2 linked regions of the Sus scrofa genome follow. The protein of the gene in region 1 purifies or fractionates together with the protein of each later gene. This does not show direct contact. Links are inferred from orthologs where the notes say so. Each region holds a gene or a part of one and is shown on either strand. Other genes may lie near its edges.

Evidence for each region.
Region 2: the proteins of RBM28 (region 1) and REXO4 purify together in Homo sapiens (affinity purification with mass spectrometry; 3 studies listed by BioGRID and IntAct, with this or other methods). This does not show direct contact. The link is inferred for Sus scrofa from reciprocal best matches to the Homo sapiens genes RBM28 and REXO4.

The regions. Positions count from the first base shown.
Region 1 is NC_010460.4:20,053,521-20,069,657, forward strand, and holds the end of RBM28 (RNA-binding protein 28), read left to right. Parts: intron 1-641; coding exon 642-715; intron 716-1,457; coding exon 1,458-1,593; intron 1,594-2,576; coding exon 2,577-2,641; intron 2,642-4,846; coding exon 4,847-5,005; intron 5,006-8,125; coding exon 8,126-8,275; intron 8,276-8,563; coding exon 8,564-8,638; intron 8,639-11,475; coding exon 11,476-11,732; intron 11,733-12,338; coding exon 12,339-12,438; intron 12,439-15,111; coding exon 15,112-15,246; 3' UTR 15,247-15,639; downstream 15,640-16,137. UniProt on the Homo sapiens protein: Nucleolar component of the spliceosomal ribonucleoprotein complexes.
Region 2 is NC_010443.5:273,011,922-273,028,158, reverse strand, and holds the start of REXO4 (RNA exonuclease 4), read left to right. Parts: upstream 1-6,205; 5' UTR 6,206-6,379; coding exon 6,380-6,604; intron 6,605-8,139; coding exon 8,140-8,504; intron 8,505-11,493; coding exon 11,494-11,631; intron 11,632-11,764; coding exon 11,765-11,958; intron 11,959-13,237; coding exon 13,238-13,326; intron 13,327-13,959; coding exon of another isoform or gene 13,960-14,067; exon of another isoform or gene 14,068-14,093; intron 14,094-14,105; coding exon 14,106-14,180; intron 14,181-14,908; coding exon 14,909-14,983; intron 14,984-15,428; coding exon 15,429-15,548; 3' UTR 15,549-16,194; coding exon of another isoform or gene 16,195-16,237. Other genes in the region: ADAMTS13 (A disintegrin and metalloproteinase with thrombospondin motifs 13), read right to left, coding at 1,612-1,787, 3,441-3,507, 3,834-3,932; serine/threonine kinase-like domain-containing protein STKLD1, read right to left, coding at 16,195-16,237.

The sequences.
Region 1 (16,137 bases):
TATCTGATGCCTCCCCAGTGACTGTGATGACAGTGAGATCTGTAATTAATTTTAGGGTTAAGTGCTTGCGGCCTTGCTTTTTTAGTCCTCTAACAGGCATATAGTAAATGATGCTGAATTAAATGTTAGGCTGGAATTTCTCTAGTATTTCACGTGGATATTCCTTTTTTTAACACCCCCTTTTGGGCTACTCCACGGCATATAGAGTTCCTGGGCCAAGGGTCAAATCTGAGCCATAGTTGTGACCAATGCCACAGCTGCAGCAATGCTGAATCCTTTAAACCACTGTGCCAGAGCAGGGGTCAAAACTGTGTTCTGGTGCTGCAGAGATGCTGCCAATCTCGTTGCACCACAGTGGGAACTCCTCTTGTGGATATTTGTTATTAAAGAGTGAGATGGTGAGACTAAAGTTTTAAGGAGCATTGGAAAAAACGAAGGAATAATACTCTTTCATTGTGAGCAAGTGTGCTGTCTTACCTGCCTTTGAATTTACACTGCCTGACCCAGTGTGTATTAGTTAAATCTCATAGTAATTAACAAAAAGATGTTACTGTCCCATCCACATTGTGTCAGGGTGCCACTGGGCTTCCTGGTGGGCCATGGGAGTTTGGGATCTCACTTAGTTTTGTCTGTCTGTGCAGGTTGTGCATTTGCCCAATTTATGACTCAAGAAGCAGCTCAGAAGTGCCTTGAAGCTGCTTCTCCAGAGACTGAGGTAAGGAAGACATTTCCTTTACCCTGTAACTTAGGCAACTGTGGCTCCGGGGGAACATCTGAGGTTTACACAAAGCTTTTGTTACTATTGTCAATGATGTAATAATAATAAAGCTAACACTTTTTGAGCCCTTAGTGTGTTAGGCACTGATGTTTACACACATTACCTTGTTTAATCCTCACATTAGCCCCATGGGTGTATGTTGAGTACAATCACTGTCCCTGGTTTTTGGTAGGAAGCAGATATAATAATTATTTATGGATCACTCTGTGTATCTCAGTCTCTACCCTCGGCTGATGACATGAAAGACTGGGACAAGGAGGGGTTAAGTCCATCTGTGAAGTGGAGCAAATGTTTGAGAAAGTGTGTAAATGATGGAGAATTTTTCTGTCTATTCTTTAACCAGGTATAATTTAAGCTACCCTGTATTGCCATGGTCTCTTAAATTCTCCTGAGTAAACACTACCATTTCATTAGTTTTCTTTAGACTACCAAAAATTCGCCTGTTTATAGATCATTTCCCTCAATTTAGGCCTACTTTGTTCATTTTAAAATAAACGAACACGTGGCCTTCGCACAGCTGAACTCTATACCATTAGGCTCAGTGATCCCTTGCAGCCAGCTGGGCTAAAACATCTTGGGGTTTGGGTTCCACAGCATAATTGGGGTTTGCTGTTTTCCCTTTCCTTGGTGTTCCTTGTTACTCATTGTGGGTTTTAAGAGGAAGGTTGCAATCTTACAGGGTGGTGGGCTCAAACTGGATGGCCGTCAGCTCAAGGTTGACTTGGCAGTGACCCGTGATGAGGCTGCAAAGCTCCGGACAAAGAAGGTGAAGAAGCCGACGGGAACTCGGAACCTCTATCTGGCCCGAGAAGGCTGTGAGTAGTGGCAGGGAGACATGAACCAGGCTTCTGAGTAGCTGGCCCCTTGCTGTGACAGTGACCCCAGCAACAGTACGTTTGGGGCATGTTTCCAGCTAAAAATAAAAACCCTATGGCCTCTTTAACAGTGATATATTGTAATTCCACTTTAGCAGATGGGGCTTTCTCTTAGGAAGCCTTCACCCAGTTTGGGGATGGCCCAGTCCTGTTCTTCTTTCTGCCTGCTTGCCTTTGGACCTTTCCATCAGAGGATTAGCAGGGCAAAGAGGGAAGAAGAACTCAGATTACCTTTGCCTCTTGTCATCATTTCTGATAGCTTTTGTGAGGGAGTTGAAAATTAAGACTAAAATTACTCTTTTGGATTATTCATGGATTTTAATTATGCAATGAATACCTTTCCCTTCATGTCAGAAAGATAATCAGAAATTAGCTTTAAGAAAAGAGAAGAATTCCTTCCTCTTGGTCACACAGTAGTGCCATCTGCTGCACAGCTGCACAGCCTGGACTAGGAAGTGGGAGGCTGTTGGCCTTTGAGACTAGGCCCAGTGTTGCGATGTGGCCGTTTTCTAGGTTCGCTTATCTCACCACTGAGAATGGCTGCCAAATACATGAGCAGTGAAATTCCAAGGATGGCTTATAGGTAGAACATGTTTTGCATTCCAAATGCCTGAACTGCACTCATTTCCAGAACTTCCTCTAGTCCTTTCCGCCTAGGCATATTCATGAAATTTTTTGAGGGGAAGGAGAGGAAAGAGGAACAAAATCACAAAATGTTCAGAGTTTTAGTCCTTGAGAGCAACTCACAGACAAGAACTTAGCCCTGTAGCCTATTTCTGGCCCTACCCAGATGCCACTATGTCCTGGCCAGCATAGTCCTCTGGGCCCTGTACAAAGAGCTTGCATCATTCAAATCACATTCCTCTTATTGCTCAGTGAAAAGTCCCTTGCTGATGTCTTGGCCTTTTTCCCTCTTTCTGCAGTGATTCGTGCTGGGACGAAGGCTGCAGAGGGTGTGAGTGCTGCTGATATGGCCAAAAGAGAACGAGTGAGTAGATTAGGCACCAGCCTTTAGGTTCTGCGTGACTTCATATAAATCAATCAATGAGAATAACTGAATGTAGGAAGTGCTCATCAAAGAGCCAGGTATCGGTCAGAGGTGCTCCCTACACTATTGTTAGAAAATAAGCACCCAGCAGTTCCCGTCGTGGCGCAGCAGGAATGAATCCGACTAGGAACCATGAGGTTGCGGGTTCGATCCCTGCCCTTGCTCAGTGGGTTAAGGATCCGGTTGCCGTGAGCTGTGGTGTAGGTCACAGAGGTGGCTCAGATCCTGCGTTGCTGTGGCTCTGGCGTAGACCATCGGCTACAGCTCCAGTTAGACCCCTAGCCTGGGAACCTCCATATGCCACAGGTGCAGTCCTCAAAAAGACAAAAAAAGAAAAAAGAGATTAAGCACCCAGCTAAAACAGCAAGTAGCCTAGCATTGTACATAATATGGCAGCATTACATGTGATTATTTTCCTTACACTCAGTAGTAAATGTTTGCTAAATAGTCTGCTTCTAGATCATGGGAAACTTGAGCTGTATGTAATTAGGTATCAATATAAATGCAGAATAATATAAAGAATATCAGAATGGGCTAGAGTTAGGAAATGAGCTAATTCTGTGTAGATACGGGTCTTGAGAGAGTGAAGATGCCTGATTTTTTTGGGGGGGGCAGTGTGGTATCTCCAGATTATAAAATCATTTTAGGAAAACTATATTGTGGCATTTCCACTGATAACTGATACTATTGAGATCCTTTGCTGCTTGGTAATGTCTATTCCAGGAATTTTTACTTTTGCCTTTATAGCTTATATTTAAAAAGCTAAGCCAGTCTAGAGTGGTAAAGATTCATAGTCATTGACAGGATTAGCTATATAACCTGAAAGTGCAGAAGACGGTGGACAGAGATGAGACTATAGTGACAGCAAGGGCAGCATGTCTTTACTGGGTAGTTTCTAGATAGTGTTCTTGAATTTTTTTGGAGTGAGCATCTGGGAATATGATTTTGGGGGGCATTGTATCCCCTTTTCTGACCACAATGTGATGGTGACACATTTAATTTTCCCTTAAAATGGATTTTTCTAGCAAAAAACTCACTGTATACCTTTTAAATCCCAGTAGGCACAGCCTTTCCTGAGAGAAAAGTCACGCTGTTGAGTTTAGGGGTGATAGCCTCTTCATTTAGCCCTTTAAGAGCGTTCCTGCCGTGGCGAAGCACGTTAAGAATCTGACCGCAGCAACTTGAGTGGTTGCATCGGCATAGGTTCAGTCCCTGGCCCAGCTCAGTGGGTTAAAGGATCCGGCATTGCCACAGCTGTGGCGTACGTTGAGCTGTGGCTCAGATTCAGTCCCCGGCCCAGGAACTTCTGTACGCTGTGGGCTCGGCCTTTAAAAAAAAAAAAAAGTCCCGTAAAATACTTGTTTCCAGAGTGTTTATTTTTGTGATTTTTTTAGGACCTTCACCAAACATGAAGCAGCAGGAATAAGACTTGATAAGAGAAAAAATTTAAAACTTTTCTCTACTGATCTAATTTTAACAAACAAGTCAGGAGAAGAAAGTCATCCTTTCACTTTAGAGACAGATTGCCTGGGACTTGTGCTTTGTGTAGCATAGTTGAGCCTCTAACAAGCAGAATTTGTTGCTATGGCCATTGACTTTTTTTGCCTAAAGGTGGCAGAGTTGAGACAAGGCAACATTCTTTCAAGTATTTAAATAAATTCCATTTTCTTTTGGAAGGACTAAACAATTAGTTAAGAGTTGGTGGGTAGGTAAGGGCTTGACATAGATGTTAACCACAATATTTTTTGTTATTTGCTCTGGGCCAAGTTTGAAATTGGGATTTTGTGCATATTACCTCATTTTGGCCTCACTCAGAGATTGATACTATATTTTGATCTATAGTTCTGCTCTGCGGGTGAAGTTATTGAGGCTTAAATGGTTTCATGTGACTTCTCCAGTTAGGGTTGAATTTCTAATTCAGTCTGACTCCAGAGCCCATGGTCTATCTAATCACTTGCCCACCGTCTTGGCTCCATGAACCTTTCTTTCCCTGTACTGGGCATCAGAAAGCAGCAGAGGGGTTGATTTCCCTCCTTTCTCCTATATGTTATTGGATAGGTTATGATTCTTTGCTGTTGGAATTATGAGCTTTTATTTGTAAAGGGATTGGATTGTAATGTATTTAACAATTGATTGTTCTTTCAGTTTGAGCTGCTGAAGCATCAGAAACTCAAGGACCAGAATATCTTTGTCTCCCGGACCAGGCTGTGCCTGCATAATCTCCCAAAGGCCGTGGATGACAAGCAGCTCAGAAAGCTGCTGCTGAGTTCCACAAGAGGGGAGAAGGGAGTGCGCATCAAGGAGGTGAGAAATTTTTTAAAAATCATTATAAAATTTTGTTAAATTTTATAAAAATCATTATAAAATTTTTTAAAAAGAGAGAAAACTATGTCTCAATTACTATGCCTCGGAACTTCCGTTCTCATCCTGGGTCAGAGCAAGTGTAGTTCAGGCTATGCTGCTAGCAGATCAACAGATTTTCTTTTGGACACATTGTCAGCAGACAAGCTGAGTTCGCCAGTTTTCTTTTCTTTTTTTTTTTTGTCTTTGTTGTTGTTGTTGTTATTGTTGCTATTTCTTGGGCCACTCCCGCGGCATATGGAGGTTCCCAGGCTAGGGGTTGAATCGGAGCTGTAGCCACCGGCCTACGCCAGAGCCACAGCAACGCGGGATCCGAGCCGCGTCTGCAACCTACACCACAGCTCACGGCAACGCCGGATCGTTAACCCACTGAGCAAGGGCAGGGATCGAACCCGCAACCTCATGGTTCCTAGTCGGATTCGTTAACCACTGCGCCACGACGGGAACTCCCAGTTTTCTTTTTTATTTTTCTTTTGGCCACACCCATGGCATGCAGAAGTTCCCTGGCCAGGAACCAAACCCATGCCACAGCAGTTATTTGACCCATAGCAGTGACAATGCTAGATCCTTAACCCACCGAGCCACCAGGAAACTCTGTTCATGGTGTTTTGACTTAAAAAAAAAAATGTATTTCCGTATTTTAAGAACTACCTTTCACAGCTGATAAAATTGTAGCAGAATGTGGGGGAGTCTCTGCCGTCGTGAATTAATTTAGCAAGCATTTTTTGGGTACCTGCTGTGTTCTTAGCATACCAGGTACTGTAATGTTAATTTTCTTGCAGAGAAAATAATCTGTGTGCTTTGCTTTTTTTTTTTTTTTTTTTCTCTTTGCTTTCCAAAGCCACACAACCTACACCACAGCTCACAGCAACGCCAGATCCTTAACCCACTGAGCAAGGCCAGGGATCGAACCCACAACCTCATGGCCACTAGTCGGATTCATTTCCACTGTGCCACGACGGGAACTCCTGTGCTTTGCTCTTTAGAAGAGCATATCTCTACCATTTAGACTCTTCCCCAGTAGTAAGAGGGTTCAATGCCCTGCAGTGAGCACAGGGAGCCACCTGGGTCTTCAGTAGTTGTGTTGGACAAACTCTGGTTTCACACTAAGACTTTGTTGTTGTTGTTGTTCTTTTGTCTTTTTAGGGCCACATCCACCACATACGGAGGTTCCCAGGCTAGGGGTCGAATCAGAACTGTCGCTGCCCGCCTATGTCACAGCCACAGCAACGTGGGATCCAAGCTGCATCTGCGATCTACGCCACAGCTATGCCAGATCCTTAACCCACTGAGCGAGGCCAGGGATCGATCCCACGTCCTCATGGATTCTATTCAGGTTCATTAACCATTGAGCCATGATAGGAACTTCCTTACACTAAGACTTGGTTAGGCTCTGAGTGAGTACAGAAACCTCTGCTCTGTGCCCATAGCACTGTGTGCATACCTCTGTCATAGCATCTACTGCCACACTGTCCTATAATTATCTGTCAGTCTTTGCTCCCAGCCAGACCGAGCTCTTTGAGAGCAGGTGTTAGCTCATTGTTCTCAGTTCCTGGCATAGTAATTGAGACATAGTTTTCTCTCTCTCTTTTTTAATTTTATAATGATTTTTATTGTTTTCTATTACAGTTGGTTTATAATGTTCTGTCAGTTTTCTGCTGTACAGCAAAGTGACCCAGTCTCACACACACATATATATATATGTATTATGAATCTGCTTTGCTCTGATTCGTCAGCATAAGCTGTTTTCCTACTCCTGGAAAGTCTCTTAGAACGTATGGTACTGGTGTTTAGGGAATTACAGGAGAGACTGAACAATATCAGCACACGGCTGATACCACTTTCAATAAAACTGTTCAAAATGTTACTGGCAGAGGGGTCAGTTGTGTAATCTCTCATCAACACCCACAGTACTTAGGGTCTGCCCATTTAAAATGTGTCATCTTTTAAAGAAATGTACATGTGTTTTACATTATTTGCATTATGTTGAATTTTCTCTTTCATCCTTTCAAATGTGGAAGTATAATATCTCAGTAAGACAGTAAGCCTCTTGAGGATAAGGGCCTCATTTTATGCTTTTCTTGATGTGCCTAGAGCATATGGCACAGTTCTAGGCACAGAGAAGACATGGGCATGGACCAAATGCAGCATCCAAGCGTCTCCAATATCTACTTTATCTGACAACTTTAGCTTCCAGGAATAAAAACATGTAAACGATCTGTTTTTCCCAAATATCCTACTGTTCCTGGGTGCTCCAGGATGCCTCTCACAGCTTAAGGATTTCGGGGGAAGTCACATCAGAGAGGAGCTGAGCTTTGAGCAAAGGCAGCTAAAGCTTCTTCCTGAGGCTGTATGTTGGGCAGCATCGTCCCCATGCCTGATCTGTCTGTCTGTCTTTTTCTTCCTTCCTTCCTTCCTTTCTGCTGCACCTGCGGCATGTGGAAGTTCCCAGGCCAGGGACTGAACCCGCACTGCAGCAGTGATCTGAACTGCTGCAGTGATAACACTGGATCCTTAACCTGCTATTCCATAGCAGGAACTCCCTGAATTGTCTTTCTGATTTAAAACCACGAGGTCTTCATCCTTTCCTTCTTCACTAATTTCCTTTCTGAGTGCTTTCTTCCGTGATGAGATCTGTAGACAGCGCTTCCGCCTCAGTGCTAACTTATACAACCTCGAGTACCACGTACCTCTTACCTAGTATGTATTGTCATCTCAACAGTTAGCTTTTGTAATTTTTCCTTGGAAGGTTTATTTTGCTTACATGCTTATTCGTGGGTGTGTGTTGATGTCTATAAACTCTCAAAAAACAGGAAAATACCTCATTTGTTTGCTTCTCTCAGTAGGTGTCTTCTAATAAAGACAGGCATTCCTAAGTGTTCCACCAGTACAGTTCTGGTGGTGACGATCTAAATGGAGACTGTTCCAATAACCTGACTTTTTGGTTTTTTGTCTTTGGTTTTTTGTTTTTGTTTTTTTCCCATAACCTAACTTCTTACTGAAGCTGTTAAGCATCTTCATCCTGTAATTACTGATTTTTTTCTTATTCTGCTCTACTCGTAGTGTCGGGTGATGAGAGACCTCAAAGGAGCTCATGGGAAAGTTAAGGGTCAGTCCTTGGGCTACGCCTTTGCAGAGTTCCAGGAGCACGAGCATGCCCTGGCCGCCCTGCGCCACATCAACAACAATCCAGAAATCTTTGGGCCTCAGAAGGTGAGTCTCCTCCTGTGGGGAGACATTTGCAGAAAGCCCTCTCACATTGGCGTGGTGGGTGAGAGTGGCAAGGGAGGGAGTGAGCAGCCGTTCAGGTGGTAGGATGATCAGGAGGAACCCTGAATGGGATCGGCTGCCTGCAGAACTGGCCCCTTGGCTTCTAAGGGGAGTGAAGTAGCAACAACCTCTGCCTTGCAAGAAGGCGGGGAGCGGTGGGGGGGACATCTCAGCTCATTGCATGCGCGGATTAAGAAATCTAATGAATGGCTTGCTTTCTCCTTCTGCCAGAGACCAATAGTGGAGTTCTCTTTGGAAGATCGAAGGAAACTTAAAATAAAGGAAATGAGGATGCAGCGCAGCCTGGTACAAAAGGGAAATTTTTTGGGGTGGGGGGCTTTTTAAAATTGTAGTAAATAACATGCATGTCCCATAAACCTTATTATTATTTTTTAAGTGTGTAGTTAGAACAGTTTCTTTGATGCCATGTTTAGACTTTGTTTTGTTCAGTTCAGTTTGTGTTTCTGCTCCCTTGGTGTAGGTCTCTGCCTTGTTAGGTTCCTTGTTACCCTTTACCCTTAGTCTCCTAGAACTCTGCCGGCTGTCTCTCCTCTGCTGGCCTGGCTTGTGATAGCTCCACAGGAGGAGGAGGGAGGAGAGGGGAGACCCAGCCTGATGTTATTACCAATGAGCAGTGCTTGTACTGTAGGGTTTCATGATGTATGTGTCAAAAGTAATAGCCAGAATTAAGTGCTACTTGTTCTATAGAGTTCAGCTATCTCGTCCATACTTCTTTTTGCTTCTTGGATGGCTCCAAAGTGTGATGCCTGATAGTTTCAGCACTGTTTGTAATCTAGTAGAGTATAGAGGAAAGAACAGGGACTTTGGGGCCAGGAATACTCACGTTCAGACTCAGGCTCTGCCGCTTTCTGAGTTCCTTGGCAAGTTATTACTTATTACCTCTCTCAGCTTCGGTTTCTAGTTTGTAAAACAGGATTGACATCATCTGTGTTACGTGGCTGATGGGGATTGAATGGGGTAGTAGTGTAAGTTGTCTCACACACCACATGGTCCATACAGAGTCAGTACTCATTCTCTTACCCATCTTGCCCCAGGACATGGAAGGCCAGGTTATACTTGATACCATAACTCTTACAGATCTCATTGATGTTATGCCTTAGCTTGTAAATATACCAAACATTTGCTGTGTTTTGGTGTCCTTCAGGTATATACCATGAGCATGACCTATAGGAGCAGTGGTTAATAGAACGGTCCTGGGTTACCTGGGCTCTGGTGATTATTCAGGGCAGCTTTGTTATTGCAGGTATAGAATTATTTACTGCAATTCAGGTAGCGTTATTTGTTGCCTACACTTAGGCACATGCTGATCTTTCTGTGTAAAAGTGTCCCTTTTCCCTGACTCAGGGATGCTGCTTCTCGGTTTCCATATTCAGATCAATCAACTGCACTTCCTCAAGTACCATTTTCCCACCTCTCTCAAAAGACTTTTTTACTTGCACTTTCATGAACTTCCTTGAAATCGTCTTTAGTTTTTTACTTTATGTCTTAGCTCCACTAGGCTGTGAGTCCTAAAAGATGGACACTTCGGTCTATCCATCTGTGCCCTGACTGCTTAGAAACAGAGACTGGCACATCATAGGCATATAATCTTTGTTGTATCAGGGTACAGACAGAATAATACAATTACTACATTTATTTCACATGAATCTTATTTTTCTTCTCCCACCAATGCCACCTAAATCTGTTATGTAGTTTTTGCTTTCCATCTCAGGTCATCTTTTCTTTGTCTTTATTTCATTTAACTTTTTGGTTTTTTTTTTTGGTCTTTTTAGGGTTGTACTAATGGAATATGGAAGTTCCCAGGTTAGGGGTTAAATCGAGCTGCAGCTGCTGGCTTACGCTTCATCCACAGCAATGCCAGATCTGAGCCATGTCTGTGACCTACACCACAACTCACAGCAATGCCAGATCCTTAACCCACTCAGCGAGGCCAGGGATCAAACCTGCATCCTCATGGATGCTAGTCAGGTCTGTTACCACTGAGCCACAATGGGAACTCCTTATTTCATTTAATCTTCTTTATGTAGATTTGAGTTTCTAACATCTGTCATGTTACCTCTCTCAGTAAATTCATGTATTATTTCTTAAGGTCTACCCGTGATAAATTTCTTTAATTTTTGCTTCTCTGAGAGAGTCTACTAATCCTTCAGTTTTGATGAGTTCATAGATCAAAATTCTAGGTTGGTGGGTACAGAATTCTCTCATGGATACAGAATTCTAGGTTGGTGATTTTTTTCCACCCAAACATTAAATATTTGACTCTGTTCTCCTCTTGCTTACTTGGTTTCTGAAGAGAAATCCAATGTAATCTTAACTTTGTTCCTCTGTAGGTAAGGTATTTTCCTTGCCTCTGGCTTCTTTCAAGATTTTCTATTCAGTTTTCTGCTGTTTGATATATTATGCCAAGGTGTAGATTTTTTAGTATTAATCCTGTTTGGTAGTTGGCTGAGCTTCCTGGATCTGAGGTTTAGTGTCTGTCCTTACGTTTGTAAATCCTCGGCTCTCACTACCTCAAATATTTCTTCTTTTCTTTCTTTCTTTCTTTCTTTTTTTTTGCTTTTTAGGGCCTCACTCACGGCATGTGGAGGTTCCCAGGTGAGGGGTGGAACTGGAGCTGCAACTGCCGACCTATGCCAGAGCCACTGCAATGCAGGATCCAGGCTGCGTCTGTGACCTAAACTACAGCTCACAGCAATGCCGGATCCTTAACCCACTTAGCAAGGCCAGGGATTGAACCTGCAATCTCATGACCACTAGTCAGATTCGTTTTCACTGTGCCACAATGGCAACTCCTTTTCTTTCTTCTCATTTCCCTTACACATTTGTTATACCTTTCTTTATAATTATCCCGTGCTACTGGCCTTTGTTTTCTGCTGGCTTTTGAGTTTTGGCTTTCCCTCTATTTCTGCGTGTAGAAAGGGAAGTGGTGCTTTTGGGTCCCCACCCAGAAACTGTGTTACTATTTCAGGGCCTGTGAACTACTTGCATTCTCTTTCCTAAAATCTCTGACTATTTAGGGGAAGAATTTTCCTTCTTTCACCAAACTCACTCCTCTTCTGCTGAGTATTTCCAACACATAAACCTCATCCAGAAACCAAAATGGCATTCTCTTGTTTATGCAGCAAAAAGTGAAATCCAAGTCTGCAACTGGTGAGCCCCAGCAGGAGCCACCAGAGATGGGGAAAAAACAGCAACAGAAAGCAGCTCAGAACCACATGCAGGAGCAAAGCAAGGCCCCCGTGGAGCAGAAGGGGAAGGTGGGCTCCGTCTCGTGGACAGGGTTCCAGACCAAGGCCGAAGTGGAGCACGTGGAGCTGTCTGATGGAAAGAAGAGAAGAAAGGTCCTGGCGCTCCCCTCTCACCGAGGCCCCAAAATCAGGTGAGATGCAGGACAGCTTCTGAGGGGTTTGCTTTTGCTTTGCCTTTTTTCCTCTTTGTGGCTTTTGTTTGGATGAAAGGGATGTTTCGTGTGTGCCAGTCCCATGTGTAGCGTTGATGCATAAGTATCTCCACATCAGCAGAGAGCTCACTCTTGGACCAAATGGAGGCCAGAACAGGGCTGGCAGAGGGCGCCTCAGAGGAACCTTCCAGCGTGGGCTTTTGTGCCATTTTTCTTCTCTTCTGAAGAGCTTCCTCCCGTCCAGATGGCCGGCCGCCTCTGGTAGCTGAGGCCCACTTACCTGAGGTTCCCTTGTAGTTTCTCTTTGGGACAACAGCTTAGTGGCTATCCACAAAAGTCGGTCTTTACAAAATAAGTGTTAAAAGTAAATGAAGGTTTTTGAGGTTTTAAGCCAGAATGAAAAAAATAGGTATACAGATATTGAGTCCTAGGATGTTCTGTTGCAGTATCCCTTTTTAGCATGACTTTTCATGGGCTTAGAAAAAGCCAGTGTAAGAAAAGGCATTTTATTTTCTGGGCTGAGAAAACCTCAGGGGTACCACTTAGAGGAAGAACTCAGGGTGACCCTTGACCGTATTGTTGCAGGTTGCGGGACAAAGGCAAGATGAAGTCTCTCCCTCCCAAGAAGCCAAAGCCCCAGATAAACCATTGGAAGCAAGAGAAGCAGAAATTATCTTCCAAGCAGGTGAGTTCTGTAGGGCCCGAGGTTTGGTATGTATGGCACAGTTCTACCAGGGATGTAGCCACTTTTGTGCCTTAATCTGTTGAGCAAAAGGAAAGGGCTTCTAAATTGCAGTTATGTACAGGGTTGCATCTTTTTAAAGGATATAGAGATGCACAGTCCTAAAAGTGAGAATGGCATTAAGATGAACCCCATGTATTAGTTACTCTAGTTCAAAAGTATCTTGTTTTACTTAGCAATCCCCTCTCCCCCCTGAGTATATTGTAGCAGATTCTACCTCACTTGTAAATGTGCCTCATGTGGAAATGAGGAATATTGCTCAGAAAAGTATCTCAGAGTGCCTCTGCAGCCAATCAGGCCTTAAACACACATACACACAAACATACATTATGTCATCATCACAGCTAATGAAATTAAGAAGAAGCCCTTAATATCTAATAAGCAACCTGTATTAGAATATCCCCAGTTGCCTCAAAATATATTTAATACTTTTTTTTAGTTAGTATGAATCAGGTTCCAAACAAAGTCGACATTATATTGGGGGGGGGTTTGGTGAGGGGAAGGGCACGCCCACAACATGTGGAAGTTCCCAGGCCAGGAATCACCCAAGCCACAGCAGTGACAACACTGAATCCTTAACTGCTAGGAACTCCTGTATTTGGTGTTTAAATCTTTTAGGTCTTGGGTTTTTTTCCCCTATAGTATCCAGTCTTCCTTACCACCTACCTTTATCTATGCTATTAATTTGTTGTTGAAGCCAGGCCCTTAGTCTTTTAGAATATATTACTTTTTTTTTTTTTTTTTTTTTTTTTTGCTTTTTATGGTTGCACCCGAGGCATATGGAAGTTCCCAGGCTAGGGGTCAAATCGGAGCTACAGCTGCCGGCCTATACCACAGCCACAGCCACATCAGATCCGAGCCGCGTCTGCGACCTACACCACAGCTCATGGCAACGCCGGATTCTTAACTCACTGAGCGAGGCCAGGGATCAAACTGGCAACTTCATGGTTCCTAGTTGGATTCATTTGTGCTGTGCCACAACAGGAACTCCCGAGAATATATTACATTTTGAATTTAGCTTCTTTCTTCCTTGTGCTATCATTTAATTTGTTCGTCTCATAGTCTGTATTACCTACAAACTGGTCCTTAGATCTAGAGGCTTGATTAGATTCAAGTTGTTTGCTTGACAGGAGTATTTCATAGGCAGTGCTGTGTACTTTCAGTTGCATCACACCATAAGATGCACAAGTGTCCGGTTGCCCCATTTTTCGTGATGCTCTGACTCCTCAGTAGGCTTAGGGATTGTCTGCCTTCTCCCTCCATTTGTGAAGCCTTCCATCAACCTCCCACCTGTGGTCCTAGGGGACCTGTGGTCCCATTGATGATAGTTACCTAGATCCGTATCTCAGTGTCAGCTGCAGAGTGGTAATCCTCTAATTTCATCAATGCTTTTGCTTTTTTTTTTTTTTTTTCTTCTTTTTGGGGCCACACCTGTGCCACATGGAAGTTCCTGGGCTAGGGGTTGAATAGGAGCTGTAGTCGTTGGCCTATACCACAGCCACAGCAACTCGGGATCCGAGCCACATCTGTGACCTACACCACAGCTCATGGCAACGCCAGATCCTTAACCCACTGAGCGAGGCCAGGGATTGGCCCTGCATCCTCATAGGTACTAGTCAAATTTGTTTCTGCTGAGCCACAAGGGGAGCTCCCGTTTTTGCTTTTTTTTTTTAAGTAGAATTCTAGAAAAAAAGAATCTTTTTGTCAGCTGTTTGGTTACCATGAAATACCATTGTATAGGATAAGCAGGATAAATGCTTGATTTTTTCTCTTTTAAAATCAGTTTCCAGGGTAATGGGTTGGTGCCCTACCAACCTCTCTGATGACCAGTAATATTTTTTTTTTTCATCTTGTGATTTTTGAGTTTTAATATACAGTCAGATGCAGTCATTATTCTTGTCCCATCTGAGGCCAGCAGAAGCCCATTCAGGTTGACTTCTGAGTCCTTCTGACATGACCCCGTCTTTGGTAGCATCCTTGCTTTCCAGTACAGCCAGATATCCCAGCCATCTTAGCTGCTTCTCTGCCAGTCCTGGTATTAGCTTCCAAGGAGTCCTGGTTCTTTTAGTAGAAAATAGTGGTTCTGTATTCTTGATCATTTAACGTCAAACTTTCTTTTTCCCTCCCCTAGTCCCTTTCTTTTAAGGGTATAAGAAGTGTTAGTTTCTCATTTTTACTCCAGAAATCTGAGTCTCTGAGAAGTCTCTCGTTCGTCATATTATCTTATGGAGCCCATCCTATGTCATAGAGAGCTTTCTCTGGAACCCCGTAAGCAGTGTTCTTGGTGAGGGAGCGGGCTGGCGAGACCATGCAGACCCTGGCCTGACTCAGCGGCGAGGAGATTCACGTTGAGCATTTGGGAGCTGGACTAGGAGAGGCCTCTGACACACCCGAACAGTGTTTTAGTGGGGCCTTTTCTCTTAGGAATACCTCGTCCGATTTCTTACCAATGGATGATTCTTTTGGGGTCACTCTCTGGAAGACCCTCTTTTGGTGGACAAGGTCTTTGAGCCCATTCATTTTTTTCCCTCAGGTGGCCTGAGGGTAAGGTGATTTTAATGCTTGAAACTTATGTTTATGTTTAGTATCTTATATTTCCTTACCTTTCATTTGTAGGTGCCTAGGAAAAAAGCTCAGGGAAATAAGACAGAAATTCGCTTCAACCAGCTGGTCGAACAATATAAGCAGAAGTTATTGGGACCTTCTAAAGGAGCTCCTCTTGCAAAGAGGAGCAAATGGTTCGACAGTTGATAATGCCAACGGACTGGATAAGGAGCTGGATTGTGTGCTTCTTGGTGAAGCCCCCCTCCCCCCATGTCGTTTATTGCGGGAAAGAAACCACTGAGTGCCCTGCCACTTTGTTGGGGGCCCCTCTGGGCCGTGCGCATCTGAACTTGCGTCTCTCCCTGGTGTGCGGTTAGTTAACCAAGAAGAGGAATATCAGAAAGACATCATGATGCTTCTTGCATGTTTCGTGCGAAGGTGTGTCTATAATTCTTACGCATTTTAATTCTTTGTTTCTCAAATGGTAACAGTTATAAAAAGCATTCTTTAGTGCTGAATTTTTAAGATGTATATTTTGTTAAGGATCTTATTTAAATGAGATATTTTATGGCTTTTCGAGTAACAGACTCATTTCTAACATGTGAATCCTTTATTATTTATAAATGTGTTTGACCTTCCTAACTCTTAATTCAGTCATGTAGTCCTACATACTGCAGGGATTGATTAAGAAAGAGCAGAGAAAGATGATTTCCCAGCTAATCTCTGAGGGTGGGACTTGGAAGGTCATGGAGGGCATGGGGCCTGGCCGGAGCACCGCCTGGCGTTGTTTGCCAGAGGAGTGGGTGATTATGGGTCATTAACCAGCAGTCAGTTGGCAGCAGCCCCCAGACAGTAGCCTGGCTGGTGAGCACCTGCGTTGCCTCTTGCGACGCCTCCTCCTGCAGACTCAGGGAGTGGGTGGTGGAGAGAGCAGTGAGTGTGCGGCCAGAAAAAGAGCTGGAAATACAGCACAAAGTTCTTAATTCCCTAGTCTCTGATGCTGTAATAAGTGATGCTTTCTTCAGAACCATTGCTGACCTACGGATGTAGCTATTTCATTGCAGAGTCTTAGGAAACCAGTGAACGCTCAGAACGCCC
Region 2 (16,237 bases), on another chromosome or scaffold:
CTTCACCCGAGGGCCGCCTCCCGCTCCGTGGGCCCCTTCCCAGGCACCTCGATGAGAACACCCCCCACTCGCCCCCAGCCAGGCTCTCGTGGTCCGTCTGCCAAGGTGCCAGCTCTGTTCGACTTGTACCGCGGTTGTTTGCACCAGCCTGTCAGCAGACTTAAGAACAATGCAGCGGGCACAGGGTGGGTGCCCCGTCGTGACACTGGCCGTGACCATGCCTGGCACCATGTAGGCAGGCGCCCGTCTACAGTCTACCACCTGGCCACCCTTGGTCCTCATAAAACATGTCGAATGACCAGAGGAAGTGTGGTTTGATTACCAAATTCCAGCACATTCGAGGTGGGGGAGGGCCTCCCAAAGCTTGAAAACCACAGCTTTCAAATGACTTTGAATATGTGCCATTTCTGGGCGTGCAGGTGGAGACCCAAGCAGGCTGACCCTGGCCTTGAACCAGCTTTCCCAGGGTTTGGGAGCCCGTGGGTGTAGCATCTGGGACACAGCCTCCCTTTGGGGTGGGAGACCCAGAGAACACCTGGGAAAGGAGAGGGGTCAGAGTGCCCGGGGCTCTGTGTTTGGGGGATATTTTCCTTTTATCCGAGAGGGGTGGGCAGGGAGTTCCCATCCTGACTCAGGGGTAACAGACCCGGCTAGGATCCATGAGGATGCAGGTTCGATCCCCAGCCTCGCTCAGTGGGTTAAGGATCCTGCGTTGCTGTGGCTGTGGTGTAGGTCGCAGACGTGGCTCAGATCTGGCATTGCTGTGGCTGTGGCCTAGGCGGGCAGCTACAGCTCTGATTAGACCCCTAGCCTGGGAACCTCCATATGCCTCGGGTGCAGCCCTAAAGAGACGAAAACAAAAACAAAAAACCCCAAAGAGGTGGGCATTCGTGAGGCTGGGGACAAGGACCCCATATTCTAGGACAGCTGCCCAGCCCTCCAAGGCCAGCGTACCAGGGGAGCAACTCTGGCCCTGCCTGCCGCCAGTGGTCGTATTAATCTCCTGATGTTTGCGGACACTGACCTGGTGGCCTGGAACACGTGTGTCTGTGTGTTTCATGTGTGAACACGCGCGTGGCCAGGCACAGCCCATCAGGGAAACGGGGTCATCAGGTGCCTTGCGGTCACCTGTTTCTGGGCTGCCTCTTGGTCTCTGAGATGATGGAAGCTGGGCTTCCTACCCCACTGTTACCCCTAAAAGCTAAGTGCAGAGGAGGCCTGCAGACATGCGGGCGCTGAGAAAGCCCAGCGGGGTGCAGCCCTGCTGGGCACCCGGGCAGGGCCAACCGAGGTGCCCACAGATTGATGGGGGGTGAGGCCGGGTGAAGGGACAAAAGCAGAAAGAGGCTGTGGGGGGCACTGCCCAGTGTGTAGGGGGCAGATAAGAACAGGCCACACCTCTCCCACCCCAGGCCCTGAGCCCTACGTGTGACCCCAGGCTCAGGTCCATATCCACCAGAGAAGCCAGCCCACTGACTCTTTTTGCATGAGCCCTGGGTATGGGGCACTGTGTCCACAGGCTCCTGAGGGCGGCCACAGTGCCACCAGGGTCCCAAGCCCTCTCCTGGGTCAGCGTCGCCCACAGAGCCTGTGCCCCATGCCAGCACTGACCATGTTGAGGTTGGTGAGCACGTAGCGCTCCGTGTCCTCCTGGTGAGCCTGCTGGACATCGGGACCCACGGCCACCAGCAGCTCCAGGTGCAGGACGCTCCCAGCAGCCCGTCTCCAGAGGCGCCGGGCAGGAGGGCGGCCTGGCGAGGTGGGTGGCGAGGCTGACGGCGAGGGTCCTGGAAAGCAGGCCAGAGGTGGGGCCAGGCCCCTCCATCACCCTTGGCTCCTGAGCCTGGAATCACAGTGGCCCAAGCCCCAGCTTTGTCACAGGGGAGGTGGGGAGCCTGAGGGGGCCTGCCCTGCCCCGCACCCCACACACAGGGGAGCCGGGTGGGGCACTTCCGCCCTGGCCCACTTGGAGCTGGGCTCTCGGTGCCCGCAGATCCTCAGACACCCACGAACGGATGCAGGGTGGCCTTCTCGACTCCTTGGACAACCAGGCTCTCAGAGAGTGAGCGGTCCCCAGCTCTGGCATGTCACCCATGGGGCGACTGATATGACTGATGGCCCGGACAGCCACCTTGGGCGGGGCGGGGGGTGGGGGGACATTTCATCCTACCCCTCGGCCCGGGTCCCAGTGCTGACTAGGTGCTTCAGAGCAGCACAAGGCCCAGGAGGGAGCTATTGCGTGGCTTTATGTCCTTCTGGTCGCACCAAAGCCCCATCCAGCCCAGCCCCGGAGCCATCCTGCAGGCCCGTGGCAGGCAGTTCTCATCTTTGGGGCTTCAGGTTCCCACCCAGAGCGTGGGAACCATCAGTGACCCCCGACCTAGGGCCAAGGCTCAAGCCACGGGACTGTGAATGAGCTTGCAAACTGTGCAGGGCCGCTCAGAGGCGGGAGGTCTACCTGCCCCCAAAGCAGACACGTTCCCCTTTGGGGAGAATCGGTGGGGAGGAGGCCTGGCCTAGAGCCCGGAGTCTGGGTTTAAGTCCACCTCCTCCCAGCTCGATGCTGGGGAACCCGACCAGAGCTCGGCACAGCAGCCTCGCCTTGCAACACCTGTTACACGGGGGAACGGCTTGAACCCCGACAGGTGAGGCAGGTGCAAGCCTCAGTGGAAAGCAGGCGCCCAGGGCCGACCCCGCCCTCCTCCCCCTCACCCCAAGGTGGCCCCCAGAGCCTTGGGGACCCCAGGCTGTGGTCTCCTAGCGCTTCGGGGACCTGGAAGATGAGATAGACACGTTCCCAGCCCCCAGACCCCACGATCAGCCACCGGCCTCCAGCACTGCCCGCCCCATTACGGCCCCTGGCATCAGTCAGTGTGTATCTGACACGGACCACAAAGAAACCAGCCACCAGTGGGACATCCCCGATTTTCTCGACCCTGACCACTAGCCCGCCCTGCTCCCGTCCCCACCAGCCTTTGGATCAAGTTCACCAATGGCCCTGCTGGGAAAGGGGGCTGGCGCCACGGAAGAGTCCACAGACATGGCCCACGAGTGACAGGAAAAGGCTTTGGCTGGAGCTGGACCCGAGCGCCCATCTCGTCGCTCACAGAAGAGATAAATATTTACAGCCCCGGCCAGAAACCGCAAGAGTTCCTGAAAATCAGTCAGCCCAAAGGAGGCCCAGCTAATTAGTGACTGTTCCTTGGAGATACTGAGCAGAACCCCGGGGTCAGAGCCCCAGCTCAGCCCAGAACACCCAGACCAAGTCTTATCGACTTGGCAAGAAGTAATGGAATTCATTAGCGGGGCAACGACGACGCCAGCGACGGCTCTGACCTCCTCCCAACAGAGCCACCCAGGAGCCAAGCCCCCTGACCCAGTGGTGAGATGCCCCAGGCGCTGAGACACTCCCTTTGCAAGGACGATGCCAGGACAGGTACCTTCCAAGGCGGCAGCAGGGCCAAGGTAAGCAGTCACTTCCTCCGGCTCCAAAGCCTGAAGAAATAGCTGGAAGCCAGAGCAGATGAGCAGGGGAGGTGAGGGAGAGGGGGAGGTGGGAGAGGGACAAGGCCAGGAGGGGGCAGAGGGGAGTGGGGAGAGATGCGCCCCAGGATGCGAAGGCAGGCCGGCCACTCGCGTCTTTGTCCGCGTAGACCACAGACGGTGTCTGCTCTTTGCCGGCCCAGGGGACGGCGCTAGGCCAACCCCCTGTCCAGTGAGCCCACTCAGTCCCCTGAAGTCCAAGTTCAGCTTTGCTCCCCTTCCACCCAAGGGTTGTTGGGCAGCCCCCTCCTCTCCCAGGGGCCTGGCACCGCATCCGTGGATCCACCCACCTGCGGGAAACGGGAGAGCCCCCAGCAGCCCAGGAGGAAGAGAGACGTGAGGATTCCTCGCACGCATCGCCCCCGGAGGCGAAGGTCTCTCACCCTCATCCTCAGAAAGCCTGCTGGCCCGGCGGGGGGCGGGAGAGCCTGGCGGCTGAGATCTGGTCGGCGGCAGGAGTGTGACAGACCCGCTGCGCTGGACGGTTAGGCAGTGTTTATTCGCGGCACTTCCTCCCAGGGCAGGGGCCACGGGGCTGGGCGGCCTGCAGGCTCCTCCTGCCGCAACCTGGCCTTGGCTCAGAGCTGCAGTCCTGCGCCTGGGAGCCCGGAGCGGGGGAGGGGATTCATCACCCATGTGGGAGTACCCTGGCTCAGTCTGAGGCACCGCCCCGCCTGCTCTCTGGGAACCCTGCTCCCCAGGATCTGTGTCTCCAGTCTCCTGTCCTCACTCCCTCCCGCTCCGCGATTGCCTGGTCTGTGCCAGTCACAGAACCCGGCTGGGGGCATCCACTGCGCTCAGCATCACAGGCCACCCGAGGTCCGCTCCACTTGTAAGATTCATACAACTCTCTCCCACCTTCGGGGTGCCTCTCCCATCTTAGTGGATGGCTAATGGGGTGGGGGTGGGGGTGGGGGTGAGAATCGGCCTTGGTCCCTGCCTGCCTCAGCCCCCTCCTCAGGCTGGGTACCAGGGAAGACGCACCTGCCCATCCACCTGGGCCGGCCCACTTTGCAGCCTCAGGGTCAGTAGGTGTGAGGCACTCCCTGCCCCGCCCTTTACCTCCCGCAGGCATTCCACCCCAACTAAAGGCGTGCCTTCCCAACTCCATCCCTGGAACCGCTTCCCACAGACCCAAACCGACACGTGGCCCCAATCCAGGCTGCTCCTCGCTGGCCTGGGCAACTGGAATGGGCTCCCAACAGGGCTGCCTGCTCTCCCTCTCTCCCACCCCCCCATCCCATTTCATCACTCCCCCTCTTCAAAACAATCCATAGCTCCCCTTTCTCCTTAGAAGAAAAGGTCCAAACTCCATCCTGAGCCTCAGAGGCCCTATAATCCAAGGTTTGGCCCCTGTCCGGCCCTCTGCCTGCCTCCCCATCCCTCCCCCCTGTGCCCAAAGACCTGTAGCCCCACCAGCCTGCCTTTCATGCCTCAAATACATCCAATGCTTTGCTGTTCCCTCTGGCCGCTGGTCTGCTCAATCGAGTTTCAGCTCAAATGGCACCTCCTTCTAGGCACCATCTAAGTGCCCCACCCATTCCAGGGAGAGAAGGTACCACATTTAGAAGACAAAAATCAGGACAGTAGTGAAATTTGAATTTCAGATAAACAATGGATTTTTTTTTTTTTTCCTTTTTAGAGCCGCACCTGCAGCATGTGGAAGTTCCCAGGCTATGGGTCCAATTGGAGCTACAGCTGCCAGCCTCCACCACAGCCACAGCAACAGGAGATTCGAGCTGCATCTGTGACCTACACCACAGCTCACGGCAGCGCTGGATCCTTATCCCACAGAGCAAGGCCAGGGATCAAACCCATATCCTCAGGTACACTAGCGGATTCGTTTCCTCTGTGCCACAACAGGAACTCTCCGGATTTTGTGTGTGTGTGTGTGTGTGTGTTAAGTATGCCCCCAATACTGCAGCTATTATATGAAACATATTTATAAAAAGTAGACTTTATCTGAAATTCCTGTTTTTCTGGGCATCTTGCATCTTGTTTGGGGGCCTCATAACCCAGCACCTCATTTTATCATCTTGATTGTAGTTACTGCTCTCCAAGATTGTTGACTTAGTACCTGTATTTCCCCAGAGGCTCCCAGGCACATACAGAGACCGGAACCGAAGCTTCGGGGTGCAGAGGTCTAATGTAGGTTATTTACGAGGTACAGTCAGGGCCAGGCAGGTGTGCTCGTGAGTTAAAATAACAGAGAACGCTAAATGCAATGCTTCGTTTTTGTTATGGGAAATGGCAGCCCTATGGCTTTGGTAAAGCAGGCTGGGCGACCTGGGGACCCCCTTTCATCCCTGAGCCTCCGTCTCCCGTCGCAAAGCCGGGGGAGTCTGGGCTCCGCCTCCGGCGCTCCAGGCCCGGCCGCCCAGCGCCCCCTGGCGGCCGCCTGCGCCAGTGCTGCGCCGGCCCAGCAGCGGCGCTACAACGACGGCGGCCCCCTCGGTCCCTTCCGGCGCTCGCGTTTCTCTGCCCCGCGTGGGCTCTCGGTGCGTTCCCGCGCTTACCCCAACCTGATCCCGGGCCGCCGACCGGGCTGGCGGCCGTTTTCCTCTGGGGGACCGAGAGCTCCGCCCCGCTCCCGGCCGCGCGGAACCAGCGGCGAGGGCCGGGTTTCCAGCCGGCCTCGGAGAGACGAGCGCTTCCGGGGACCGGGACGCACGTGCGGAGACGCGCGCGGGGCGGCTTCCGGGGTCTGGAGCGCTGGTGTTTTTTCCCCGGGCCGGCGAGTTAGGGGCGGCGGGGCCCGTGCTCGGCGGGCAGAGCCCGGCTCCGGGGCCGCGGCGGCGCCGCCGTGGATGGGCGCGGGGGCCGGGTCGGTGCCGCGATGGCGAAGGCGAGGATGCTGGCCCCCGAGCGCGCCCCGGGCGACCCGGCGCCTGAGCCCGGGCTCGTCAAGAAGCCGAGTCGGAAGAAAAACAGAAAGAAAAGGTTCTGGAAGAACAAAGCCCGAGAAGCGAGCACGAAGCCGGGGAACGACCCCAGAGGGGTCGCGGTGCGGCCTCCAAAGGCACCAGAGGACTTTTCCCAAAACTGGAAGGTTCTGCGGGAGGTAAGGGCAGGGCCTCCCCGAGTGGAGAGAAGGAGAAGGGCTTGCGGGGCCCCGGGAGCTGCGGAGGCAGGCCGGAGGGAGCGCTGTGTCGGTGCTCGGAGTCTTTCACAGGCGGTGGCGAGCTCGGGGCGAGAGCAGAGCGGGAACCTGGGCCGGAGGATTCTAGCAACACTCCGGGTCTTTAATAGATGACAGCTGCCTCCAGGTGCTGAGCTCTTAAAACGTGCAGTCGCTGCTGGGTGATCCACGTGTGTTCTTATTTCACCAGGCGCAGGGACACGGTGAGGTAGAGGCCTTGGTCGTTCCTCTCCATCTTACAGATGAGAGAGCCAGAAACGTTAAGTAAATTGTCCAGGACTGCAGCTGGGCCAGTGGAGCCAGGAGTCAGATGCCCAAGTCCCTGTTCTGAATGTCACGTGGTACTTGCTGCCTTTCTCCGCATCAGTGGCCCAAAGTTAGGGCCAGGTTTCTGTCTGCTAAGTGCTGCTCCCTGTGCCTCCCTCCTGCACTCTCTCCACCTCCCTCGGAGGTAGCTGCTGTTATCACCTCTGTTTTCTAGGAAAGGGGGTGGAGGCAGCGTTTAAGAACTTGGCCCAGTGTCACAGCTAGTGGACGGCAGACTGAGGGATGCAGTCACTGGGTCAGATGTGCGTTTCTGCCCTTTGCTGCTACTGACCCTCAAAGTCCCAGAGTCAGAACAGAGAAGAGCTGTCCAGATAATAATTCTCCTGTCTTGACACACAGGATGATGAAATTCCATCTGGCAACCCCTGGCTTCCCTGATTTCTTGAACTGTAGTCTTAGGTCTTTCTCTCAAGAAAGTAAAGCAAAGTTAAGCAGGCAGAAGGATGTTTCTTGTGGGAAAAACCTTGCGTTTTCTCCGTTTATTACAAGAAAGTAAATTTCTCTTCTTTTTAATTTTTTTGTTTTTTGCTTTTTAGGGCCACACCTGCAGCATATGGAGGTTCCCAGTCTAGGGGTTGAATCAGAGCTGTAGCTGCCGGCCTACAGCAGAGCCACAGCAACACCAGATCTGAACCACGTCTGCCACCTACACCATAGCTCATGGCAGTGCCAGATCCTTAACCTACTGAGCAAGGCCAGGGATTGAACCTGCGTCCTCATGGTTACTAGTTGGATTCGTTCCCCCTGTGCTACAACGGGAACTCCACATTTCTCTTCTTTAAACATTAGAGAAACGGGTGAGTAGAAAGCAGCCTCATCCCTCATCTCAGCTGGTTGCTGTGTGGCAGGACCTTAACCGTATTGAGAATGGCCATGCTGAGGGCACAGCCGTGTCTTGTGGGCACACCCTGCCTTCCCAAGACCCTCACAGCAGTAGCAAACCAGGAAGTCTGATCAAGAAAGCGGCTTCAGTGGCCCAGCTTGTCGGCTGATCTGTGAGGGAATTGACTCTAAAGTAACTGTGAATGTGAAAACAGGTCGGTTTTACACACATACATACGAGTTTTTCAATCTCTTGTGTGTGACATTTGAATTAAAATGTGTCCCGTGTTTTCTTTGGGTTCCATCAGCTGCTGAAACCAAAGTCACAGGCCCTGGAGGAGTCTCTCGTTCCCTCTCGGCTGAATTCCAGAAAGCAGCCCCAAAGGGCCCAGCCCAGCAGAAAAGCGGTGCCAGACAGAGCAGAGAGGAGCGAGGTGGGGACAGAAAACACAGCTCCCGAGGCCAGCGGAGGCGCTGCGCCCTCACCGCGACTTCCGACGCAGAGGAAGAGGCCCGCCCCTCGCACACAGGCCGGCGGGCGGGCTCAGCACAGGGAGAAGGAAGCCAAGACAAGGACCAGTGGCGACATTTCTCCAAAGCGAGGAGACGTCAAGCATAAGAAGCGGAAAGCTAAGGAGGTGACTGCCCCCTTACCGCCAGCCGCGCCCACCGAGTAAGTGCCCGTGGGCCAGTGTGGCTGTGGGGACTGCCTCAGCCTCTCATCCTGAGCACGGTCGCAGCCGCCGAGGCCTTTCTCCTCATTTCTCATTTTCTCATTTTCTTGATTTTCGTTGTGGCCTTTTGTCCTAGAGAGGTTCCTTTCGCGTTTGTCATGCAACTGGTCTAGTGCTGCTGAATTCTCTTAGCTTTGGCTTATCTGTAAAGCTTGCGATTTTTCCTTCACATCTGAAACGAGAGCCTTGCTGGGCAGAGTGATCTTGGTTGGAGGTTTTTTCATCACTTTAAGTATGCTGTGCCACTCCCTTCTGGCCTGCGGGGTTTCTGCCGAAAGATGGGCTGATAACCTTATCGGGGTTCCTTTGTGTGTCATCTGTTTCTTTTCCCTGGCTGCTTTCAACATTTTCTCTTTGTCTTTCGTTTTGGTCAGTTTGATTAACATGTGCCTCGGGGTGTTCCTCCTTGGGTTTGTTTTATAGGGTACTTCCTGTATAGCTTCCTGGACTTGAGGGAGTGGTTCCTTTCCCATGTTAGGGAAGTTTTCGGCTAGTTTCTTTTCGAATCTTCTTTCTGTCCCTTTCCCCCTCTGCTCTTTCTGGCACCCCCGTAACACGGATGTTGGTGCACTTAACGCTGTCCCAGAGTCTCCCAGACCGTCTTCAGTTCTCTTCAGTCTTCTTTCTCTTTTCTGCTCTGGGTCAGTGATTTCCCCCAGCCTGTCCTCCACCTCGCTTATTCGTTCTTCTGCCTCCTGTGTTCTGCGTTGGTTCTTTCTAGCGAGTATTTTATCTTAGTTACTGTATTCCGCATCTCTGCTTGCTTAGTGGGTACATCTTCCATCTCATCAATATTTCTTGTAACTTATCAGCCTCCGCCTCCAGTTTATCCCCAAGACCTTGAATCGTCTTTAATATCACTCGTTTAAAGTCTTTGTCATGGAGGTTGGTAACCTCTAGATCACATAGCTGTTTTTCTGGGGTTCTTTCTTATTCTTTTATCTGAGTCATTATTCTCTACCTTTTCATTTTGTATAGATTTTTGGTGTGGTTTCCTTTCTGCAGACCATAGAGTTATAGCCTCTCTCACTTCTGGCGTCTGCCCCCCTTGTGGCTGAAGGGGGGGGCTTGCTGTAGGCTTCCTGATGGGAGGGACCGGTGCCTGCCCACTGGTGGGTGGAGCTGATTCTTAGCCCTCTGGCGAGTGGGGCTTTGTCTCTGGGTGAGATTGGAGGAGACTGTGCCTGGGGGTCTTTAGGAAGTCTGTTTGCTGATGGTGGGACTGTGATCCCACCTGGATTGTTGTTTGGCCTGGGGCTTCTCAGCCCTGATGGGTGGGGCCAGACTTTCCCAAAATGGCCACCTCCAGAGGAACGCGTGCCAGCAACGAATATTCCAGAGAACTTTGCCTCCAGTGTCCTTCCCCCACAATGAGCCACTGTCACCCCTGCTTTCCTGCTTCCCCAGGAGATCGCCCAAGAAACGCAGGCCAATCTCACCCAGATTCCTGTGGAGCCTCTGCTTTGCCCTGGGACCCGGTGCCCATGAGAGCCTGTGTGCGCCTTTCAGGAGCGGGGGCTCCGTTTCCCCCACTCCCACGGAGCTCCTGAGCACAAGCCCCACCGGCCCCCAAGGCCGAATGCCCCTGGGCTCCTTCTCCCAGTGCCGGATCTCCAGGCCTGGGAACCTGATGTGGGGCTCAGAACTCTCCCTGCCACGGGGGAGCCTCTGCGATACAGTCACTTCCCAGTCTGTGGGCTGCACGCCCTGGAGGTATAGGGTTGCTCATGTCGCGTAGGCACCCCTCCGACCATCTCCATGTGGCCCCCCTCGTCTTCTGGAGTAGGGTATCTTTTTTAGCAGTTCTCAGTCTTTTTGGTTGAGGCTTGTTCAGCACTTGGTTGTAGTTTCGTTGTCTCCATGAGACAAGGCGAGCCCCAGCCCTTCCACTCTGCCATTTGCAGGCCTCTCCTTAAGGAGGCCGAGGCGGGTGGCGCCTCCGTCCCCTCGCCCTGGCACTGTCTGTTCTCTGTCGTTCCTTTCCCCTGGGATGTCGGCATAAAGAAGCCCAAGCCCGCTTCAGACCTGCTGTGTCTCCACGGCCAGAACAGGGCTTGGAGCATCGCAGGCCCCCGGCAGCCACTGTGGGATGTAGGAACGCCGGAGTCAGGGAGACCCCCACTTTGGACCGGATCCCCCGTCTTGCTAGCTGGGCGGTTTGGGGCGGGCAGGCTCCTGACCTTCCCTGAGGCTGTGTGGTCATTGCTGCTGGTCTGTGAGGTGCTGCCCTGGGCTGGGCACTCGGGGCAGGGCCAGAGGGCAGTGCGGCCCTGGGAGGGCTCGGCTGGGCATGGCGTGTCTGTCAGTCCGCCCGGCTGTGCGGCTCTAGGTTCCGGGAAAGAATGGTTGGCTGCCTGCTGTGTACACGTCAGTGTGCCAGTCCCTCCCTCTCGAGGGGTCAGGCGGTGCCCTGGGTCGTGTCTGTACCTCCCTGCGTGTGGTCTGCACAAACCCAGCGAGGGAGACCTGGGAGCGGATGCCCGGGGGGGGGCTCTCAGGAAGTGCCGCTGAAGCTCAGCCAGAAAGACACCTCCCCCAGGAAGCAGTGTCCTCGGACGGGGGCGGGCAGGGAGGGGTCTGTTGACCTTCTCCAGTCACCCTGTTTACCCGCGTTGTAAATAAGAGAAACGTCCGCAGCCGTTACACCTGTGTCCTGTTCCTTGGGTCGCCCTGCGGTCCTGAGTTTTGACCGTACCTGGTCACTTAAAAAGGACGCAGTGGCGTTCCTGCTGGCACAGGGGGCTCGCCAGCTGTCGCTGTGGTGGTGCGAGTTCGGTCCCCGGGGCCCAGCGGGTTAAAGGATCTGGCGTTGCTCAGATTCGGTCCGGCCCGGGACCTTCCGTCTGCCACGGGTGCGGCCACCAAAGAAAAGGAAGCGCAGGCCGGGGCCTGACAGTTCTCGTTCCGGCTGCTCTCCCCGCCCCCCAGAGCGGACATCTGGTTTGATGACGTGGACCCTGCAGACATCGAAGCGGCCCTCGGCCCCGAGGCGGCCCAGGTGGCCCGGAAGCAGCTGGGCCAGAGCGAGAGCGGTGTCACGCTGGTCAAGGAGCGGGCCTTCGACGGGTACGTGGGGCCGGGGGTCTTCAGGAAGGAGCTGCTTCCCCTTCCCCCGCTGGGCCGGGCAGCCCCTCTCGGCACCCTGCTGAGACCCGGGTCCCTTGGCCTGGATTCAGCCGGACCCTTGGTTCCCCTGCAGCCTGACGAGAGCCCTGGCCCTGGACTGTGAGATGGTGGGCGTGGGCCCCCAGGGGGACGAGAGCATGCTGGCCCGCGTGTCTCTGGTGAACCAGTTCGGGAAGTGTGTTTATGACAAGTACGTGAAGCCGACCCAGCCGGTGACCGACTACAGGACGGCGGTCAGTGGGATCCGGCCCGAGAACCTGGCGCAGGGTGGGTTCCCAGCCCGTCTCCGAGGCGGGGGGGCCCCCGCCTGCTTCCCTCCCCCTCCGGCCATGGGGCCTCCCCCGCGGGCGCACGGGTTCTGCTGGCTCTGTGCCCGTCCCACCCGTCTGCCTCGCTGTCTCTTGGCCCCTCGACCTTAGGACAGGGTTCCCGAGCTGCTCTGAGTCCCCTGGCCGTGGGGACAGAGGAAGGAGGTGGGGTGGGGTGGGGAGGGGGCTGGGGAGGCGGAACAGGCTGGAGGGCCTCGGGCCTGTGCGAAGACTTGGGAGGTGGTGAGCCATGAGGCCGGTCTGGCCCGGCTTCTAGCAGGTTCCTTCTGGTGGTGGTCTCGGGAGTAGGTTGTAGGGGTTGGGAGAGGGGAGCAGGTGTGAGCCGGAGGTGACCCTAAAAGGCGAGGAGCATGGCCCGGCTCTGGACGGGGCCAAGTCCGCAGGCTTTGCCAGGGGACAGGCTGGGCCCAGGGACCAAGAAGCACCTGGGAGGCCATGAGATTTGGGGCCAGGAGACCCTGGAGGCCAAGGCTAAAGGCCCCCTGTCCTTGGCTCTGCTCCCCGCACTGGGCCCACAGGCAGCCCAGCCCTGACCATGTCTCCATCCAGGCTCTGCCGGGCCTGCTTGATCAGGGGCGGGCAGCCACTGGGCATGAGTGCTGTGCTGCAGCCCTTGCCTTTGGGGGCCCCGAGGGGTCCGCTCCGAGAGAGCAGGCAGGGCCACCCGGAGCCCAGGGTCTGGAGCCAGGCTTCTCAACATCTGCGGCAGGGGACTCCCACTCCTTGTTTGCATTTCCAGTTGAAAAGACACCAAGCATGAGTCTGGGTTCCTCCCTCCCTCCTTTTTTTTAATGGCCGCACCGGCAGCATATGGAAATATGGAAGTTGTCAGGCTAGGGGTCAAGCTGGAGCTTCAGCCGCCGGCCCCCACCACAGCCGCTCCAGATCTGAGCTGTGCCTGCGACCTACACCACAGCACATAGCAACGCCAGATCCTTAACCCACTGAGTGGGGCCAGGGATCGAGCCCCCATCCTCATGGATACTGGTCAGGTTCATTAGTCACTGAGCCCCAAGGGGAACTCTGAGCCCTGGTTTATTATTGTAGATTCAGCATTGGTCTGTCTGGGGGCAGTGAGCATGCTCCCTCCACTTCTCCCCACCTTTGGGGGGCTGGGACAGCCCCCCGGCCTTGGCATCACCCCCCTGCTGGCCTCTTGGGTCCAACCAGGGGCAGGGGCCGCCCTCTCAGAAGTGGTCGACTTGTCTGTTTTTCAGGAGAGGAATTTGAAATCGTGCAGAAGGAGGTGGCAGCCTTGCTGAAGGGCCGCATCCTGGTGGGACACGCGCTGCACAATGACCTCAAGGTACAGGCTCTTGGCGCTGCCGGCCTTTCTCGTAACTCAGTGACCGGGGTGGCCCTGCCTGCTGTGTCAGCCTGGCAGAGCTGGGATCTGAGTCCCTGCCCACCCATGAGGGCAGCCAGGCACTGCATCTGCTGCCCATGGGCCAGCTGGGAGGGTCCCCCTCCTGTGCCCCAGACAATGTGGCCTCAGCCTTTGCTCTGTAGGGTCCCGGCTGTGGGCAGTGGAGACGCCTCCCTGGGCCCAGGGTTTCTCAGTGGTCTGTGGAAACCGATGTTTCAGGGACTCAGCAAACTGGTCTTAGTGCCTTTTAAAAGTAAACTTCGAACTGATAAAACCTAGCCGGTCCTCTGCCCGCTGAGATGCGATTCATCAAGGACAGCCTCACCTCGGAGGCCCCCGTGGCTCAGGCTCCCTCCTCGCGCCCCCTCCGCCCCTGGTGACTCCAGCACGTCCTGTATAAATAGCCTCTCCTGGGGCCTGTCCTGAGGTCACCAGGTGACCTTTCATGTCTGACTTCCTGAACGTGCAACAACTCCAACCACGCGGAACCAGTTGGCTGCTGGCTCCTTGGCGGCTTAGTCACCGGCTTCCCCCGTGTCAAGGCTGTGGTTGTATCCCCTTGGTTCTTCCCAGGGATTTTCCCTCAGAAGCTCAGGCCGGAATCAGCACTTGGTTTTAGGTGTGTGTGTGTGTGGGTTTGGGTGGGTGTGTGTGTGTTGGAGTTGGGGGGGATCACTGTAGACAAACGGTGAAACGCCCGTCACGTTTTCGGCCTCCAGGTGCTGTTTCTGGGTCACCCGAAGAAGAAGGTCCGGGACACGCAGAAGTACAGGCCCTTCAGGAGCCAAGTGAAGGTACTGGAATCAGCCGCTCTGCCAGGAGTGGCCGCAGGCCTGACCTGCCAGTCTGGTCCTGGAGGCCAGCTCGGCGGCTACAGGTGTTTTGGCTTGGTCTTTCCTTTTAACCTTTAAAACTGAAAGAAACCTTAAAAGAGAGAGTTTGGCTAGAGTTCCCGTTGTGGCTCAGTGATAATGAACCCAACTAGTGTCCATGAGGACGTGGGTTCGATCCCTGGCCTCGCTCAGTGGGTTAAGGATCTGGCATTGCTGTGGCTGTGGGGTAGGCCGTCAGGTGCGGCTCCAATGCAATCCCTAGTCTGAGAACCTCCATATGCCATGGGTGCGGCCCTAAAAAAGGACAGACAGATAGAAAGACAGACAGCATCCGGCTAAACGCCGTCTTTCAGGTTAGCGTCTCCGAGGGCAGGTGAGTTCCGCTCTCTGATAGCTGATTGGGCCCCCGGCGGCGGGTAAGAAGCCGCTGTCGTCTCTGTTCCAGAGGCAGAGTCCCCCTTTGGAATGAGCACCGGAGCCCGAGGCTGGACAGCAGAGGGGCGGTGTCCGTCCCTGCTCCTCTGCGGGCTGACCGGGTGACCGCTGCCTTCAGGGCTGTGGGCACTTATCCATGGAAGGCGCACTGAAGGTCCCTGGGGTTGGGGCTCTGCGGGTGCCCCCCTGCCCCGAGCTCCAGCTGCAGAGGCCACACCACAGCGGGGCTGTGTCTGCTCTCTCGCCCCCTGCAGAGTGGACGGCCGTCTCTGAAGCTGCTCGCCGAGAAGATCCTGGGGCTCCCGGTGCAGCAGGCGGAGCACTGTTCTGTAAGTGTGTCCTGGTGACAGTCCTCGGGTGGGCGCGGTGTCACCTGATGGCGAACACTGGGCCTGGGGCGACTTCTGCTGTGGGAGAAGCTGCTGCGCGGGTCCCTGCAAAATGACACGGCTCAGCGGGCCTGCACAGCCCTAGATGCTAAACGGCCGCCTTTAACTAACACGGAGCAGACGAGACCTGCTGGCACATTCGACTTGGAGCCAGGGCCCCTGCTCTGGATCGAAGGCGTGGGCTCCAGCCTCAAGCTCCGAGCCCCCCCCCCCACCCCGTCCCTCCGCCTAGGGCGAGGGCCGCCTCACTGGACCGCTGCCCTCGTGGGTTCTCCGCTCCATTCGCCCCATGTCCGGTGCCAGGACGCAGTAGCTGGGATTTTGACGGGCACCTGGCCGTGTTTGTCGCCAGTGGGGCCGTCACAGCGACCTCCGTGTTCTCTAGGTTCAGGATGCGCAGGCGGCCATGCGACTCTACATCTCGGTGAAGCGGGAGTGGGAGAGCCTTGCCCGGGACAGGCACCCCTCGGCCCCCGCCCTGGATGCCCGCAGCCACCGCACCTAGCAGGAGCCCTGCCCTGGGCCGCCCTACACCCCCGGCAGCTGTGACGGGACAGATCGAGTCGCCCCAGGACAGGGACGCTGTCAGAAATCTCGGAATCATGGTGGCTGAGACACGCGTGCTGCTGAGCGGACATCTGCCCTCTGGTTTTGTGACCTGAGACCTTCCCCCCGCCGGCGGAGGGGGAGCCTGTTCCCAGGGGTTGCCTGGTCCCCGAGCCGGAAGCACCCAGTTCTCATCGGGGCTTTGGGCGCCTTCCTGCTGAGGCCCCTGTCCCTTGTTGCCGTGGGCGATGGGAAGAACTCTCCGGCCTGGGGCAGCCCATGGACTTGGTTTCTGAGGGCAAAAACCTCACCCCCCACCCCCACACACCCCTGCCGAGTTCAGACCCCGGGTCAGAGCACACGGCTGGCCCAGCACGGTGACAGCAGTTATCCCCGGAGGACACGCAGACCGTGGGCGGCCTGTAGCTTTTCCTGCCTGGCCCACGGCTGAGGGTCCGAGAACAGGAGCAGCCAGTGGCACCAGGTGGAGCGCGTGACGCCCTGGGCTGTCCTGGGCCACCTGAGAGCGGGACAACAGTCTGCACCCCCGGAGGACGTTCCGTGACATGAACACAGGCTTTACTTGAGCTGGAGCGCGTGGAGGCTCAGTGGCTGAGAGGACCCCCGTGTCCCACTGCTGCCACGTGT